Caenorhabditis elegans: one gene and its partner. The protein of the gene in region 2 interacts with the protein of the main gene of each other region in a pairwise test. Each region holds a gene or a part of one and is shown on either strand. Other genes may lie near its edges.

Region 1 (7,597 bases), on a different chromosome or scaffold from region 2:
AATTTCTCTCTTTTCCAGTAAATATTTATTCTGAAAAAAGGTTTCCAGGGCTTGCCACGTCAAGGAATACATTTCAGCTTAACACGGCTAAAATTTCAAATGAAACATAAGACAATAGGAAGTGAAATTTTGAAATAGGTCACTACAAAAAAACTCAGCGGCAGAAAAAGGTCTGTCTGGAATTTTTTTTTCCAGTGAATTTTTTTACAACTCCAGAGGCGCTTAAAATTGCTATACATAAAGTGGATTTTTGCAGACTTTTAAAGGTTTTATGAATTTCTAGCGGTAGTAAAACATACGGGAAGCTTTTTGGGGATAGATTTTTATTTCTGAATTTTTTAAATTATTTTTTCCCTTCTTTTTATATTTATTGAAAACACCTGGATATTTCATAGTTTGCAAAACAATTTAAAATAAAAATTATAATATATTATAAAAATTTAACTTTTCTAGCAGGGTTACAAAGATTAAGGCAGGATTACAAAAATGTGTCCAACTGGTAGTTAGAAAAAATTTTTTTCTAGATTTTTTCAAAAAAAATGTTCCAAAAACCTTTCAAAATGTGCTGTCCTTGTGCGCTGTTAAAATTATCAAAAATTTGCGCAAATCCACGTTAGAAGCAGTTTTAGGTGCCTATAGAAGAGATCTATAGATAGTGAAAAAACGTAACTAATTTTTTGGTTGACTTGGATGAAAAATTCTTTTTTTTTCGAAAGAAAAGTTCTTGAAAAACTTCCAAAATATGTTACCCTCTAATTAGACGCCAATAAATTATTGTTTTACTTGAACCAGTTTTAGGTGTCTATTAATTAGTGAAAAATTTCAATGAAAAAATATCATATCGACCTTTTTCTAGTTCAAAGTGCTCTTCTGTAGCTAAATTTTTCGCACTGACCAAATTAAAAATTTCTCTTTCAAATAATTTTTTCAGAAATGCGTTAAATGCATTCTATGTGACTAATGTTTTTTTTGAGGTTAAATATTGACTGATTGCTGGTTATCAAAACTTTAAAAATGTCTAACTAGCCGGTTGAAGTTATCGGGCTCAAAAAGTCCAAGACTCTAGTCTGCACACCGGCACTTGTTCTAACAAAAACCTTACAAAAAAATCGTGTAACTTATACAAATGAGCTTTTTCCTCATTTCCGTGGAAGAAAATTTCCGGATTCCCTTTTGTAATTTCTTTATGTGTACACTTTTCCCCGCATTCATCGAATCATAACCAAAATGTTTGCTGCGGCGGGCGGCAGCGTCGGTCAAAGAATGGCATTTCGGCGGCGGCAACGGAATCATCGGATCTCATGCAAAACACTCGGGTGAGGCTCATTCTTTCGCAGAAGTTGGCTGATGATGATGAGGATGATAATGATGATGATCCGTGTTTGCTCTGAACGACTGGGGAGACATGCGAGAGAGAGTCGCCCTTTAGAGAAGCAGGATCACTTGAGCACACATACAAAATTCCCGAGAGTTTATCACTGATAAATGGACGGGCGGGGGGAAAAGAGTGGACTGTCCGAAATTTGTGCGCAGAGAAACATTTATGTGCACTCTCTCTCTCTCTCTCTCTCTCTCTCTCTCAAAAGTTTGTATGCAGAGCTTGGTAGTACAAGCCTGTCGACACAATCGGAATGTTGAAATTTTTCGAAAAATCGAACAGTGATAAGGGATATAGGATAAGAGTGTAGGGAGAGGAGCGTGCTTCTACTATTTTGGGACAAAGTCGGAACTTCACTGCTCTCCAGATGTTCAATGTTTATCCAGGAACACTAAAAATAAAACTTGTTCGAGTGGGTAGAAAAGTTGAAGTTCCTGATAGACATATCGCAAATTACCTGAGGAAAGAAATCCTCCCAATTTCCAGGCAAAAAAAATCGTTTAAAATGTCCGAACTGCCATATTTTCCCTATTATACATACTTGTAGAGAAATAGTTTGAAATCGCAATTAAAAAAATGAAACTGTAGATTATCCTGTTTACCTGCGTGCCTACCAGGGGTGTGCGGCAAATTTACCGAATTTGCCGAATTTGCCGAGCACGGGAAATTTCAAAAAAGTAGATTTGCCAAATTTGCCGAGCTCGGCAAATTTCAAAATTTGTCGCACACGTCAAAAATTTGACAGTACAATTTTGACTAAAACTATTGATTTTTTCGCCAAAAAATTACAAAATTGAGTTATTTAGATGCATAAGCAAACATACTACACGGAACTTATTCGGAATCCAGGTGATTGTTCAGAATTCAGTAGTTTTGGTGCTCCAAAAAGCATCAATGAGTATTAATTTTTTGGAGTTTGTTGAGCACGGCTAATTTGCCGTAGGTAGGCACTTTGATGCCTCGGCGTCCCATATGCAGAACAAGCTCAAAACAGACACAACTCTGGAATATGTACGGCAATTAAAACTGAGCTTTTTCTGCGTATCTAAAGGTCAGACACAGCAGTCCAGCTCCAATTTAAGCCTTGTTCGAGCCGGGGACTGTGACCAATAGTCCAGTCGTGGATTGCTCTACTTCCCACTTAAGGCTGGATGGACCTAGTGGGAGGTAGGACTTGAACTGGTGACCTCTAGATTGCTGGCGGCCACCACTGGTTCATTGTGTCCGGACCTCGATCGCGATGTCTCCACTGAGACATTATGCGTACATCTTAAGTTGTTCGAAGACTCTCGCATGACTTCCATGTTTCTTGTTCCAATAATTCCCAGACGTCACAAAGCATATTCCACGTGTTTTTTTTAAACCGCGTTTGGACGAGTGTTGGGAAAAAAAGAGAGTTGTGCTCTCATAATGGAGGTGTATTATGTGCTCACTTTCTCTCTGAGAAGTTGCCTCTTCAAGGATGATGGCTTCCCGTCTCCGGCCGTGGTCTACACCACCCGCGTGTGTTGCATCCCAAAACCGGATACTCTTACCTGCCGGTCAGTTGGCCCGGCAGCTCTCGCTGTCTCTCTGACGCCACCGCTGCCACTCGAGTGCACCGAGTATAAAGAGCACAGTGCTCCGACACTTTAGAGTCAAATTTTCTTCCGATGGCAAATCGGCTACTCACACATCAGGAACAGATTTTGCTCTGTTCTCTGTTTTTAAGATTTTCTAGACACCGTAGTTTCCCTATTAGACATGCAACCCTTGCTCTATTTTGTTATATCTCTGTTCCCTTCGGTTCTATCAAAAAACTGTCATTAACTGACAAAACACGTGCAAAATATTTATCTACAGTTAGACAGTAAACGCCGCTTAAGTAGATCAATGAGTTTCATGTCCAATATGCTAAATACGGTAGGAATCATTTTTTCAACTATTCTAATTTTTCTTGTAGCATTAAAAAAACTATCAACTAACATCCTAACTACTATTTAAGTATCAAGCATTGCAAAAATTTAAAGAAGCAAAAGGCTCTTACTATTAGAAAGCTATATGTTTTCCATTGACCACAGACTCCGGGCTTTTCATAAAAACCTTAGCAATCCGAATATAATTGGAAAGTTTCTATATATGCTTCAACCGTGATAAGATAAGTTGAACGACATTTTGACAAGCGCGCGCTCACAATCTTTTGGTGTATGTGTGTGTGTGTGTGTGGGGTCACTCAAGTATTTGAACATCAATCGTCCACTTCATTTTACAAACACATAGACTGGACTGAGCCCGATGGGGGAAATGAGAGAGTTTCGTGCCGCGCGCAAAGAGCACGTCGCCGCGCGGAGGCGCCAGAGTCTAAGCTAACACAGAAAGTCGGAGGGAGACGAAAAAGAGAAGACGGTCAGTTAGTGTCCCCTCCCCTCTCTCCTCACTGTTACGTACAAATGACCATTTAGTCTTGCTGCTCCATCGGGCTTCTCCTTGAGAACAAATCTTCAGATTTATTTTTGAGTTACCTTACTCTACCTACTAATTTTACAGTTTTACTTACATATTACTCTTTATTATTTATCTGAATCTTTATTAGTTTCCTGATATAATATTATTATTATTATTAAAATTTCAGGCCAGCGCAGGGTCAGGTGTTCCTACTTGTCTTAAAACCTTCAAATAACTCATTATGAAGCAACTCGCCATCTCCTTCTGCATTATCCTCCCCCTCGCCTGCTTCTGGGTACTGAACGCAGAAGACGCGAAAGAAGGTATGTTGTCACTCACTCTTCAACTCCTAAAATCCGACTTTCAGCTCCAGAAATTCGTGAAGCCAACTCCACAGTATTCCGTCAGAAGAGGCAGTTTGGATGCCCATCCAATTGCTATTCCTCATGCAGTTCCTCGTCCCAGTGCCAGAGATATTCTGTCGCATCTGTCTGTGTCCAAGGATGCTGTTGCCCAGGAAACAATAACCTTGATAGTAAGTTTTTTTAATATGAAGGTTGTGTAGGAAGTTGAAAAATTGCTTTTTTTCATAAATCAGAGATGTTAAAGAAAACGTCGCAATTATTAAAAACTAGGAGCGGGGATAGCTCAGTCGGTAGTATTGATAATTAGCAATCTAGAGGTCACGAGTTCAAGTCCTGGCTTCCCTAGGTTCAGTGTACCCAGATCCGTTCATATCGCTTAAGTAACGCATCGTCCTTTAACCCTTTAGTAAGGAATATGAGATAAAAGTTGAATGCTGACACCTTTAAAATTTAGATCTCCCTTAGTTCAAACCTCAAACCTTATCAAAATCATATCAAGAGATATCAAGAATCCAGTCACCGTTCCAATTTCTCAAGTGTCCCCGCCGTTCCCTTCCGGTTCGAGCAAACACACACACTGATTACCTAATGATTGCTACAACTCCCGGGGAGACGCTGCTTAGTCCCTTTTGCGGTGATGGAGACACCTTCTTATACGGCTCAACATAAATACAAAATATTTGCGAAGTTTCGCGGGGTGTTTGCGTTTGCTCGGTGCGTGCTGCTGTGCTCTGTGTCTCACGAAGTCGGCGCGGTTTGGACAACACGCACGAACCTATCTTTTTCTATCTTTAGCTCGTATCAGAACGAGTTCAAATATGGGTGTGGAAAGTCGTCTAATTCCAACAAAAATTTCAGCCGCCTGCTCCGGAGGACCAGCCGTCGCCGCCTGCCTCGGAGGACTCTGCGGACAAGGATTCTTCTGCTCGAGCAACAACTACTGCTGCAGATGCCAATCCGGAAACAGCACGGGACCATGTGTAAACCAGGTCTGCCCAACCGGATTCATGTGCAACACCAACAACTACTGTTGCCCACTCGGATCCGGAGGAGTCCTCGGATCATGTGTCAACGGAGTCTGCCCAACTGGATACACCTGTGGAGCTGGAAACTTGTGCTATTTGAGCAGTGGAAAGTAAAAAAATGGAATTCAATTTTTCCCTTTTTTCATGCGACAAATTGCCCCCAGTCTTTCTATATTTTTATATATTTTTTTAATATATTGTACTTTCCTTCTCCGTTCTCTGACTCTCTGCTCCTTTTAAATTATTCTAATCTATTTGAAACGAATCGTTCCCACCACCAAGACAACAACATCAACAACAAACGAAATCCCAAAAAAATATTTGAATTGTTTTTAAATTTAATTTGTTTATTTATTATTTTATTTTAATTAATGAAATAAAAAAAGAAACATTTGACACTCTACGACGATATGTGAGAAAAAATATTATAGTTTGCAAATCAAAATTTTCAAAATTTCAAACAAAAAAAAGTATAGTTAATTATGCGAAAAAAAAACATTGAGAGATGCTGATGATTTCTGTCATGAAACCGGAAAAATATGAAATAAAACTTAAAGTAGGGGGGCACTGGGAAGAAGAAAAAAACAAAATCATAATGCAAATGTGCTCTAATAATAACTAATTCAAACAATTTTATGCTCGTCGTGAGGATGATGATCATAATCATAGTCTGTATGAACAAATGCACGTTCAACTTCCGGCAAGCTTTCGATGTTTGATTGGAGGGTCTCACTGATGTCATGGGATTCTTTGAGGATCATATTCTCGTCGAGCACAATGTGCACCTGGAAATATTACAGATTTTAGAGTAGCACAATAATTCAGTTGTAAGCTCAGCCTCTTCAGAAATGTGCGATACGGGCTTATGTTAGGCCTAGGTGTAGGTTTAGGCCTAGGCTTAGGCTTGGGCTTAGGCTCAGGCTTAGGTTCAGGCTTAGGCTTGAAGAATCCAGAGAAAAAATATTCTTACCTCAACTAAAAACTTGCTTCCAAAATGGTACACATAAACCGTATCAATATGTGAAATCCGAGCATCATGATCCAAGCAGACTTTGATGATCCTATTAATGAACTCTGGCTCTGCAGTTTTACCCGACAGCTTTGCCAAATGCTCCCGTCCAGTTTGCACCCAGGTATACAAAATGTACATAGAAACCACAATAGCACCGGCTGGGTCAAAGTAGTACGAGTACTTGGTGCCGAGCCAGGCACAGATCAGGGCGACCGTGTTGGAGATGCAATCGTTGCGATGGTCCATTGCGAGCACGTTGACCGATGGTTCCTTGTATCGTTTACAGAATAGGTAGAGGGACAGCTTGACGAGAACTGTTGACACCATGATGACTACAGAGGTGATGGTGACGTTGAGCTTGGGTTCTTCACCGATTCCTGGAAATTTTTAGGATTGTAACTTAAAATCCATTGCTGAGGGAGGGGAGCATAGATTGAAGGATCAGGGAAGGATCAGAGGTAGAGCTAGTACATCCTGTAGGAAAACTTTGAATTCACTTTTTTAAAAATTTTATAAGTTCATCACTTTGTGGGCGAATATATTGAAGATTTCCTCCAAAACTGAGAACCGCAAGACTAATCAGCTCAGTTTCCAACCAATCAGACAAAATGAGTTCGAAGACGCTGATTGGTTCGAAAATTAGAAGGGCTCCTAGGTTTGGAGCAATTTCAAACAATGTTTTTAATCAGAATTTCAGACTATTTTGAGTCTTTCCATGCAAAATTCAATTCAGCATTTCTTACCATAAAGATGGAATTGAATTCCATCATGAATTCCTCTCACCGACGCAATGATCAATTGAATCGACGCCATTCCCATGATCACACTGATCAAAATCAAGGACAATGGCTCCAACCTGGTCCTTCCTCTCGGATACAGATAAGGATCCCTTTTCTTGATCATTCTTTCTGAAAGTGAAATGACAAGTCCTGAAGTGATATCTACCACAGAATCAACCATCGATGAAATGATCGACATGGATCCTGAGAGAACGGATGCGACGACTTTTGCAATCATCAGAAGGAAGTTCACTGCTAATGTGATGTTGGCCATTCTCGCGGCCGTATTTGATTCGTCGTCTTTTTTCTCGTCAACTGATTTTTCTTCGGTGTCTGTGCGTTCCATTGGTTTCTGAAATATTTAGAGAAAATAGTTGTTTGTTTTAGTAAATTACAGACATTTGGATTAATTGTTTAGAAATTGACAATGTGTCGTTAGTTTAAAAAAAGTTTTTAGCAAAAAAATCGGCAAATTGAGGGTCTCCGGATTTCGGAAATTGCCGGTTTACTGAAATTTGAAAGAACAGCAATTTGCAGATTTGCCAATTTGCCGTTTGCCAAAAAAAAATTTAAAACATTCTGGAGAAGATGCTTTATAAGAAAAAAAAACACTG
Region 2 (7,464 bases):
AAAAACACAAGAACATCGTCAAAAGTGTAAGTTTAATCGGAATTAGACGAATATTTGTTTTAAATAACTTTGTTTATTTCAGTAAAAGAACAAAGAGCGGCAGAAAAACGGAAAGAAGGGCAATCAAGTTCAAAAAGTCAAGAGGAATACGTTAACGTTGATAAAAGTAAGAAAATTGGTTTATTTAACGGTTTGATAAATTTTAATGGGCATTTTTAGTTAGTATACGTGGGCGTATAGAGCAATCAACGGATCACCGAAACGCCAGCGCCGAATTCATAGCAAAAAGAGAGAAAGCGAAAAAAGATTACGGAGAATCAGCGACAAAGATTCTAGCAATGGAAAGTACATTGGCAATGAAGTTTGAATCCGAATATTCACAAAATCCTCAGCTCTGGCCTAATATTCCATTCAGATTTTGACTATTCTTTATATGAAGCTAAAAGCATTTTTCGTGTCTACTGTATTTGTTTTTATGCACTGGTTTTCGAGCCGAAAATGTTTACCTGTTTCGTTAATTATTTCATATCAAATGTTTACCAATCTTTACAGAATTGTAAAAATGGGAAAGAAAAAGTTTATCGAGAACGAGGATGGAACTACAGAAGTCCAGGAAACAGAAAGTGAAGCACCAAAGGATAAAAAGGAGAAGAAAGAATATCGATTGAGAACTCTTGGAGCAAACATTAAAACATCAAAGAAAAGTTTCAAAGAACAATTTTTCATGAATTATGAAGATGGACTCAAACTAATCAAAAAGATGCGCGGAAAGGGAAAAGGAGGTCAACTCGTTCAAAAAGTGATGCCACGTCATATCTCCTTACCTTATCACATGTCTGGAAAAGCTGCAATGGAAGAAGCATGTGATTGGATTGCTCAAAATACTGTCGGAAAGTATAGAAAAGAGTAAGTTGATGAGTTAAAATATACAAAGAGTGTTAATTTTTAATTTTTATTCGTTATTCTCAAGAAAAACATTTTTTTGTATAATGATATGAATGCTGAAAACTGAATAACGATTTTATAATTCACAACGAATATTTATTTTTGATTTCAGATACAAAGGAATCGTCGTAGCCGTTGGAAGTGTCGATCTTGCATCTGCGCCACGTGTCATTTCCGACCAATATGCTTTCCATACCGATGTTGCAATTAATCAAATTGTTTTCATGTAAGATTTTGAATTTTCATAGGGAATTCATTTATTTTTAGACTATCAAAAATGATTCTCGTAATTTCAATAGTTTTGAATTAATTTCCAGCCCAAAAATCGGAGATCAATACGAAGCAAAAGTGAAATATGTGCAAGAAGGTCTTATGGTCGGTGTTGTCATGGATATGATCACAATTCACATTAAGCAGAATGACAAGACTTCAGGTAAATGAAAATTAGACTATTTGAAAACGGAGAAATTTTCAGAAGATCAAGTTGCAATTGATGACAAGATTCTAGTGAAATACAGCGGAATCCGAATCAAAAGTTCATTATGTCACTTGAAAGGAGAATATGTGAAAATGATTGAAAAGTGGGTTCACATTGAAGATTATTATTATTAAAAACTAATATTTTATTTTTCAGAGCCGAAATAAAAGAAGAAGAAGAAGTAGAAGATGAAGCCGATGAAGAAACGGATGTGAAGGAAAAAGTAAAAGAAGAAGAAGATGAAGATGAAGACATGGAAGAATAATCTGTCTCTGATTGTTATTCATTATTTGTTCTAGTAATTTTTGTTGATTTTTGTACTCTTTTTTACCTTTTTGTTATTTTTTCTGTTTTGGTTCTGACTTTATTTTTAATCTTTATGAACCTATCAAATTTATTGTCGTATTTTTTCTATAGTTGCTTCAGTTTTTTAATCTTCAAAGATACTTTGGCATTGTGCCAGCCGTTTTTGTTATTCGTCTACGGCTCTCTTTTCTTCAATTTTTATCCGAAAACGAAGAGACTGAGAGAAAAGTAGAAATCAAAACTTTGTGACAAGGATTTTCGTTCTTTATTCAATTTTTGATATTATTATGACTATGTACTTCCTAGGATATTGATCTCAATAGCTCCAATTAAAAAAATTGTTGGATCACTCGAATATGGAAATTTGAATGAGTTATTAGTGTGAAATCTGAACTTTTTTTAAAGTATTAATATCAGGAGAATATTTTAGCTTTTCAGTTATAAGTTTCTAGTTTCCTAGTCGATATCGTCAAATCATGTAAAATTTTCATATAGCCAGTCAGAAATAAGAAATTTCATGCTTCAACATTGAAATCCAACTTATCACAATTGATAGAAACAATCACTCTTCTTCCCATCTATCAGTTTCATCAAATGCTTAAAAATCATAATTCTCCCTGTTTTCCAACCAGTTTTAATCGATACATGGACGCACCTACAGAACCCCAATTTTCTACCGTACCACTCTTATTCGTTGCGAGACACAACCAACAGCCACCGCCTTTAGTCTATGTCTCTACCACCCAAACACTATTTACCGCATCGTTGCCGCGGTTTGTTCGTTTCTTTTTTCACTTGGTTTCAAGTTTGCTTGGATTCATAAGGTTTTCAGCGTTTTAAATTTGTCCCAGATTTGTGAATTTTCTCATACCATTTCGAGAATAGATATAATCTTTAGCCCAATTGATCAATATCTTTGTACTATGCACTCCGATTTATTATCGTTTTCAGCTATCTTAAAATTGAGAAATACTATTTTTAAATATCGAATCTTACCATTTTTATAGTTAATTCTTCAATAAGCCATGAAAAAAGAAAATTAATTGGTTAGGGTCGCTTCAATTCGTTACCATGTTGAGCAAAAATATAAATTTACCACGTTTTGATGAATGTGAAATCAAGTTGAATTTAGTATTTAACAAGTCCATAAAAATAATCTAATGAATTTAAATTTGAAAAATCCGCGATTTCTGTTTTATTACAGCTCTATTTGTTGAGAAAATTTTTTTTTTGTATTTTCTCCTTTTTTGGTTCAAAAATACATAGTATTTATAATGAATTATTTTACAGAATGGCTTCAAAAACCCGGCGCGGTTCAAGCCTCGCGAAAAAAGAAAAGGAAATCAAAAAAGAAATTGAAGAAGATAAAGAAGTTGCACCGATACAAGAAGAAGATGATGATGGTCCACCACCGATTTTAGAGAGAGAAGCCAGTTGTGGAGAGAATGATGATACAGATGGAGATGGAAAAGAAGAAGATGCACAAAAGGAAGATGATATTGATGGAAGTAAAACGAAGAATGAAAGTATTCTTGAAGCATTATCTCAATTTTTCACCGCAGATGATGCTACTGTCAAAAATCGTCGGAATAGTCCACCATCGGAGTCTTCATCAACCAGAAATACACTTGGACTCAATCGTGGAGGGGCAAGTGAGTTGAAAAAAAATCGTATTCTATAAGAAATATTCGATCTTGAGAAAAATTTGATAATTTTATTTTGCATTACCAGTAAGTAAATGTATAAAAATTTAATTTTTTTAATCGAAATATTGTACATTATTAGTTACTAACTTTGAAGTTTAATATAATTTTCTGGAAAATGCCCAGATACATAGCAATTTCCCTATTTTATAATCGACAACCTCCCATTTTTTAAAATTTGAATTTTCAGTTCCAAAGGCTCTTCTTCTGAACAAAAACCTTCGCCCTGTACCTTCAAAGACACCTCCAATTGCTACAACACGTTTTGCATCTCTTCGTCATCTTTCATCAGCCCCTGGTACATCAGCGTCTACTTCCGGATCACCTTCAGTTGGGATTCGCAAGTATGGGGTCCCACCGCCGATGCCTCGATCTCTTCGTAATATTGCGGGAAGCATAAATGTTGTTGGGTCAAATTCGTCGCTCGGGCCTGCCAGACTTCTTGAAAGCCGAAAAAGACATTTCGATAAGGATAAAGATGGGAAGAACCCGAAAAGATCTTCACTGGTAGCCTACAATGGGGGGAGAGCCGGTGAAAACTTCCGAAAAGTGCCGCCTTCCGCAGTGTCACCAGCTCCAGGATCAGGTTCATCTGCATCTTCTGGAACATCAACTTCATCGTCCAATGGTATAATAGATGTGCAATCAATGCTCCGTGATCAGTCGCCAGTCAGAATGCAAGTGATGGTTGGAGGGGATCACGAAACTAATGGAGATTCAATTCAAGAAGCTATGGAATTGGCTAATGCTCAAAAGGAAAGCATAGGAAATATTGCAAGAGCATCCAGCCATCACAATATGCTTCTTGGTTAGTAATTTAATTTGTATAAAAAATTATAATTTGTTAATTTTCCAGGTTCGATGATTATTAATGGTCTCAACACTCTACAATCTCGGGATAAGGATGAATACACTAATTTCTCATCAGACCTCTTTTCCCTTATCACAAGATATAATATTAATTAAATGTATTGATCGTCACTATATCATTTTTTTTTCTCTTTTCCTCAGACTCTCCAAATTGACCCCGTTTTTAAAATCTACTTCATTCCTCGTTTCCAATAATTGTCCCTTCTTGTTTTATCCATGGCATCATTGAATTGAAAAATAACAAAAACATGATTCAAGTCAGAATATTATTTATAATAAATAAATGATATATTTAATAGAACGTGGATGCTTATTGTTAAGATCGAAAGCGTAGATAACAACAACAAAAACTACAGGAACAGGAAAAAAGAAAAAAGTTCCAATTTTCAATCATTTTGTATTTTATCCGATTAAGAATCGATTTTAGTGATGTCGCAAAAGAAAAAAGCGAGTCTCTCTAAAATCCAGTAAGTCGTTTTGATTCAACACTGATAATTGAAATTTGTTCAGTACTGGAATGAATTCCTCATCCAAGCAAGTCCTCTCATCAACTTCTTCAGCAAATGAAAAAACTGAAGATGATGTGAGTTTCGTTTGAATTAAAGGTTTCGAATATTGACAGTTTTCTGGAACGCGAACTTAAACGCACAGAGTAGGTTTTACAGCGAAATAAATTGTCCTGGTAACTTTTCTAATTTAGCGATATTCTTGAATGGTCTTCGTGTTTACGTTAAGATTACGATAAGTTAAGCCTACTGGAGCTGTGGCTATATTACGTAGACGTCTACATAAAAATGAGAATTTCCGTCAACTTACGCGGCAGTGTCTCGCCGCGCGAACAACGAAATACTGTAACTTGTCAATTCTGGGTCGCTATTGCATAATATTTTTATTTGAAAAAAATCTTGGCGCTTCATTGGAAAAAGATATTTAGCGGTCCATAGATCTACACGAGCTACAGTAACCTGCTGTGGCGAGGTATATTTATTTGTGCATGAATTCTGGGCGGCTTTCACTTTAAAATCTGGATATATTGAAAATTAATATTTTTCAGGTCGGAGATGAAATGGATTTTTCATTACAATGTGATGCATGCAAGAAAGTAAGATTGTTTTACAAAATGCAGGTTTTTGAAAGATCAAACCAATTATTCCAGTTAATCATTGGGTTAAACAATTTGGATCGTTTTGATTGTGGGCACTTCTACTGTCTGGTGTGTAGTCCACTTCAGCCAAAAGGTAACAGAAATTGATCAGAAATCTGATAAAAAGAGTTCAATCTTTCAGAAAACCACTCGTCTTGTGCCACTTCGACATCTCCGTCAAATGCTTTTACGCGTGAAGTCTCACCGCAACAAATTGCTGAGCATACTGGAGAATTGTCGAATAATGGAGCTGAACGTGGAAAGATTCGAGGAAGTACTCGTGCTACTCGGAAAGGATCTGTGAACAAATCAAAAAGTGGAAGGACTCGTCGACATAAGAAGGTTCCGGATCAACGTCTTTGGTACTTTTTGTACCTTTCAAAGCCAGTCGTTGTCAGCCTTCCAACGGATGCCACTTATCGTAAGCTTAAGAATCTAAGATTTTTAAACAATTATATCGTTCAGACGATCTGATGGCTCGACTCTACACGCTTCTTGGTGTCAGCGGTAAGACCCATATGATTACTCTGAGAACTCAGAAATCATCGAGTGAAGAAGGCGAAGGCGAGTTTTCTGGTCGAGGTGACCCGGTTAGTTTTTTGATATTCTGAATATAAAAAGATAAGGATGATTGTAGGCTCCTCTTGAAGTCGGCGATTCGAAAACTCGTCTCAGTGATCTAAAGATTACACGTCACAAGATGCTGCTCCTGGATGTAGATGATCAGAAGAAAGATGGAAGTGGTGAGGAGAAGAAAGAGAAGAAAAGTGCGGAAAAAGAAAAGAAAATCTCACACGAAAATGTTCAAAGTTTGAGTCCGTCGAGTCGTGCAGAAGATCCGAGATCATCTTGAAATGTCTCCAGTGTTCCAATAAATCTTTGCAATCTGAATCCCGAATTTTGTGCAGAACATTTAAAGTTAAAATTGTTTATAACAGTCAATAAAATAACCATGAAGATCAATATGAAAGAAATGGGGGAGGGGGCAAGTGAAAATTGAGATAGTAAAAAATGATTGAATTATTTGATATGATTTTACAGGAGGTAGAATTAATTATAATTTTAGAGCACTCAGGAGTGAAAAATAATGTCAATGGAATAGATATACAAACCACAAGTTAAAATAAAGGGGTTGGAATTTCTCATTTTTTCCACTGGAACAAAGTTGTTTTCCGACGTTTATCGCCTATCATCTCTGCAGTTTCCAATGTACCTTCACACGTGGAAAGATTCACTTCAAGTCTCAATGTTTTCTCGCTGCATTCAGGTCGTCCAATGATCTTGAGAATATACTGATTGTTGAGACCAGTCGGATCTCCCTGATACCAACGAAGACGGAATTCTGGCTCAACGAGCTCAAAATCGTTGTAATCAGTGACGAGAACGTAGCGACATTGATTGTCGCGATATGTGTGTGTACCGGGATTGTATCTGAAAATTTGATAGGTTTCAGAGGCAAAAATATTTATAACGGGGTTTTAAACCTGTTTTACTAACTTTTTGAAGAATTGAGGTCATATTCCTAAATTTTGGGTTAGACAAAAATTATAGAAACATGTTTTGTTTGAAAATATATTATTTGCTAAAATATCGTTATACTTATTTGAGTTTTTTTAATGAATAAATTAAAATTCATCGAAAAACTAACTAAGGAAAATCGATGAAAATTCTGTTTCAAATTGAGTTTGAAATTACAGTACTCTTTGAAGGCGCCAAATTTTACAATTTTTTCGTTAAAGGACAGATTTTTAAATGTGAAAATACGTGCGCCTATAAAGACTGTTGTAGTTTGGTTTATTTATCTTTTTTCTAAACTAATAAACATGTTTTTATCAAAAAAAAAAGGGGCAAACAACAATTCGACAGTAACGCGATTTTTAAACTACAGTAATATTTAAAGGCGCACGCCTTTTCCCATTTAACTAAATTTTATCGTGCCGAGACATTTTTTGCCGCAAAATGTCACATCTCTTTTTTTATTTTTGTTTCGTTTTATTTATGTAATTTATTTATGTAAC

Evidence for each region. The genes of interacting proteins can lie anywhere in the genome.
Region 1: the proteins of F10E9.3 (region 2) and R02F11.1 interact in a two-hybrid assay, tested with the Caenorhabditis elegans proteins (one large-scale study listed by BioGRID).

What each region holds. Positions count from the first base shown.
Region 1 is NC_003283.11:4,797,105-4,804,701, forward strand, and holds R02F11.1 (CC domain-containing protein), read left to right. Parts: upstream 1-3,989; 5' UTR 3,990-4,043; coding exon 4,044-4,125; intron 4,126-4,169; coding exon 4,170-4,337; intron 4,338-5,025; coding exon 5,026-5,306; 3' UTR 5,307-5,580; downstream 5,581-7,597. Other genes in the region: R02F11.3 (Cation efflux protein cytoplasmic domain-containing protein), read right to left, coding at 5,816-5,977, 6,163-6,581, 6,948-7,335.
Region 2 is NC_003281.10:8,307,988-8,315,451, forward strand, and holds F10E9.3 (uncharacterized protein), read left to right. Parts: upstream 1-3,019; 5' UTR 3,020-3,020; coding exon 3,021-3,381; intron 3,382-3,622; coding exon 3,623-4,240; intron 4,241-4,288; coding exon 4,289-4,398; 3' UTR 4,399-4,600; downstream 4,601-7,464. Other genes in the region: F10E9.5 (uncharacterized protein), read left to right, coding at 1-26, 83-166, 220-422; F10E9.4 (uncharacterized protein), read left to right, coding at 563-906, 1,058-1,171, 1,263-1,378, 1,421-1,526, 1,580-1,688; F10E9.2 (uncharacterized protein), read left to right, coding at 4,732-4,769, 4,813-4,885, 5,357-5,404, 5,459-5,540, 5,589-5,867, 5,912-6,036, 6,084-6,299; sas-4 (Spindle assembly abnormal protein 4), read right to left, coding at 6,589-6,877.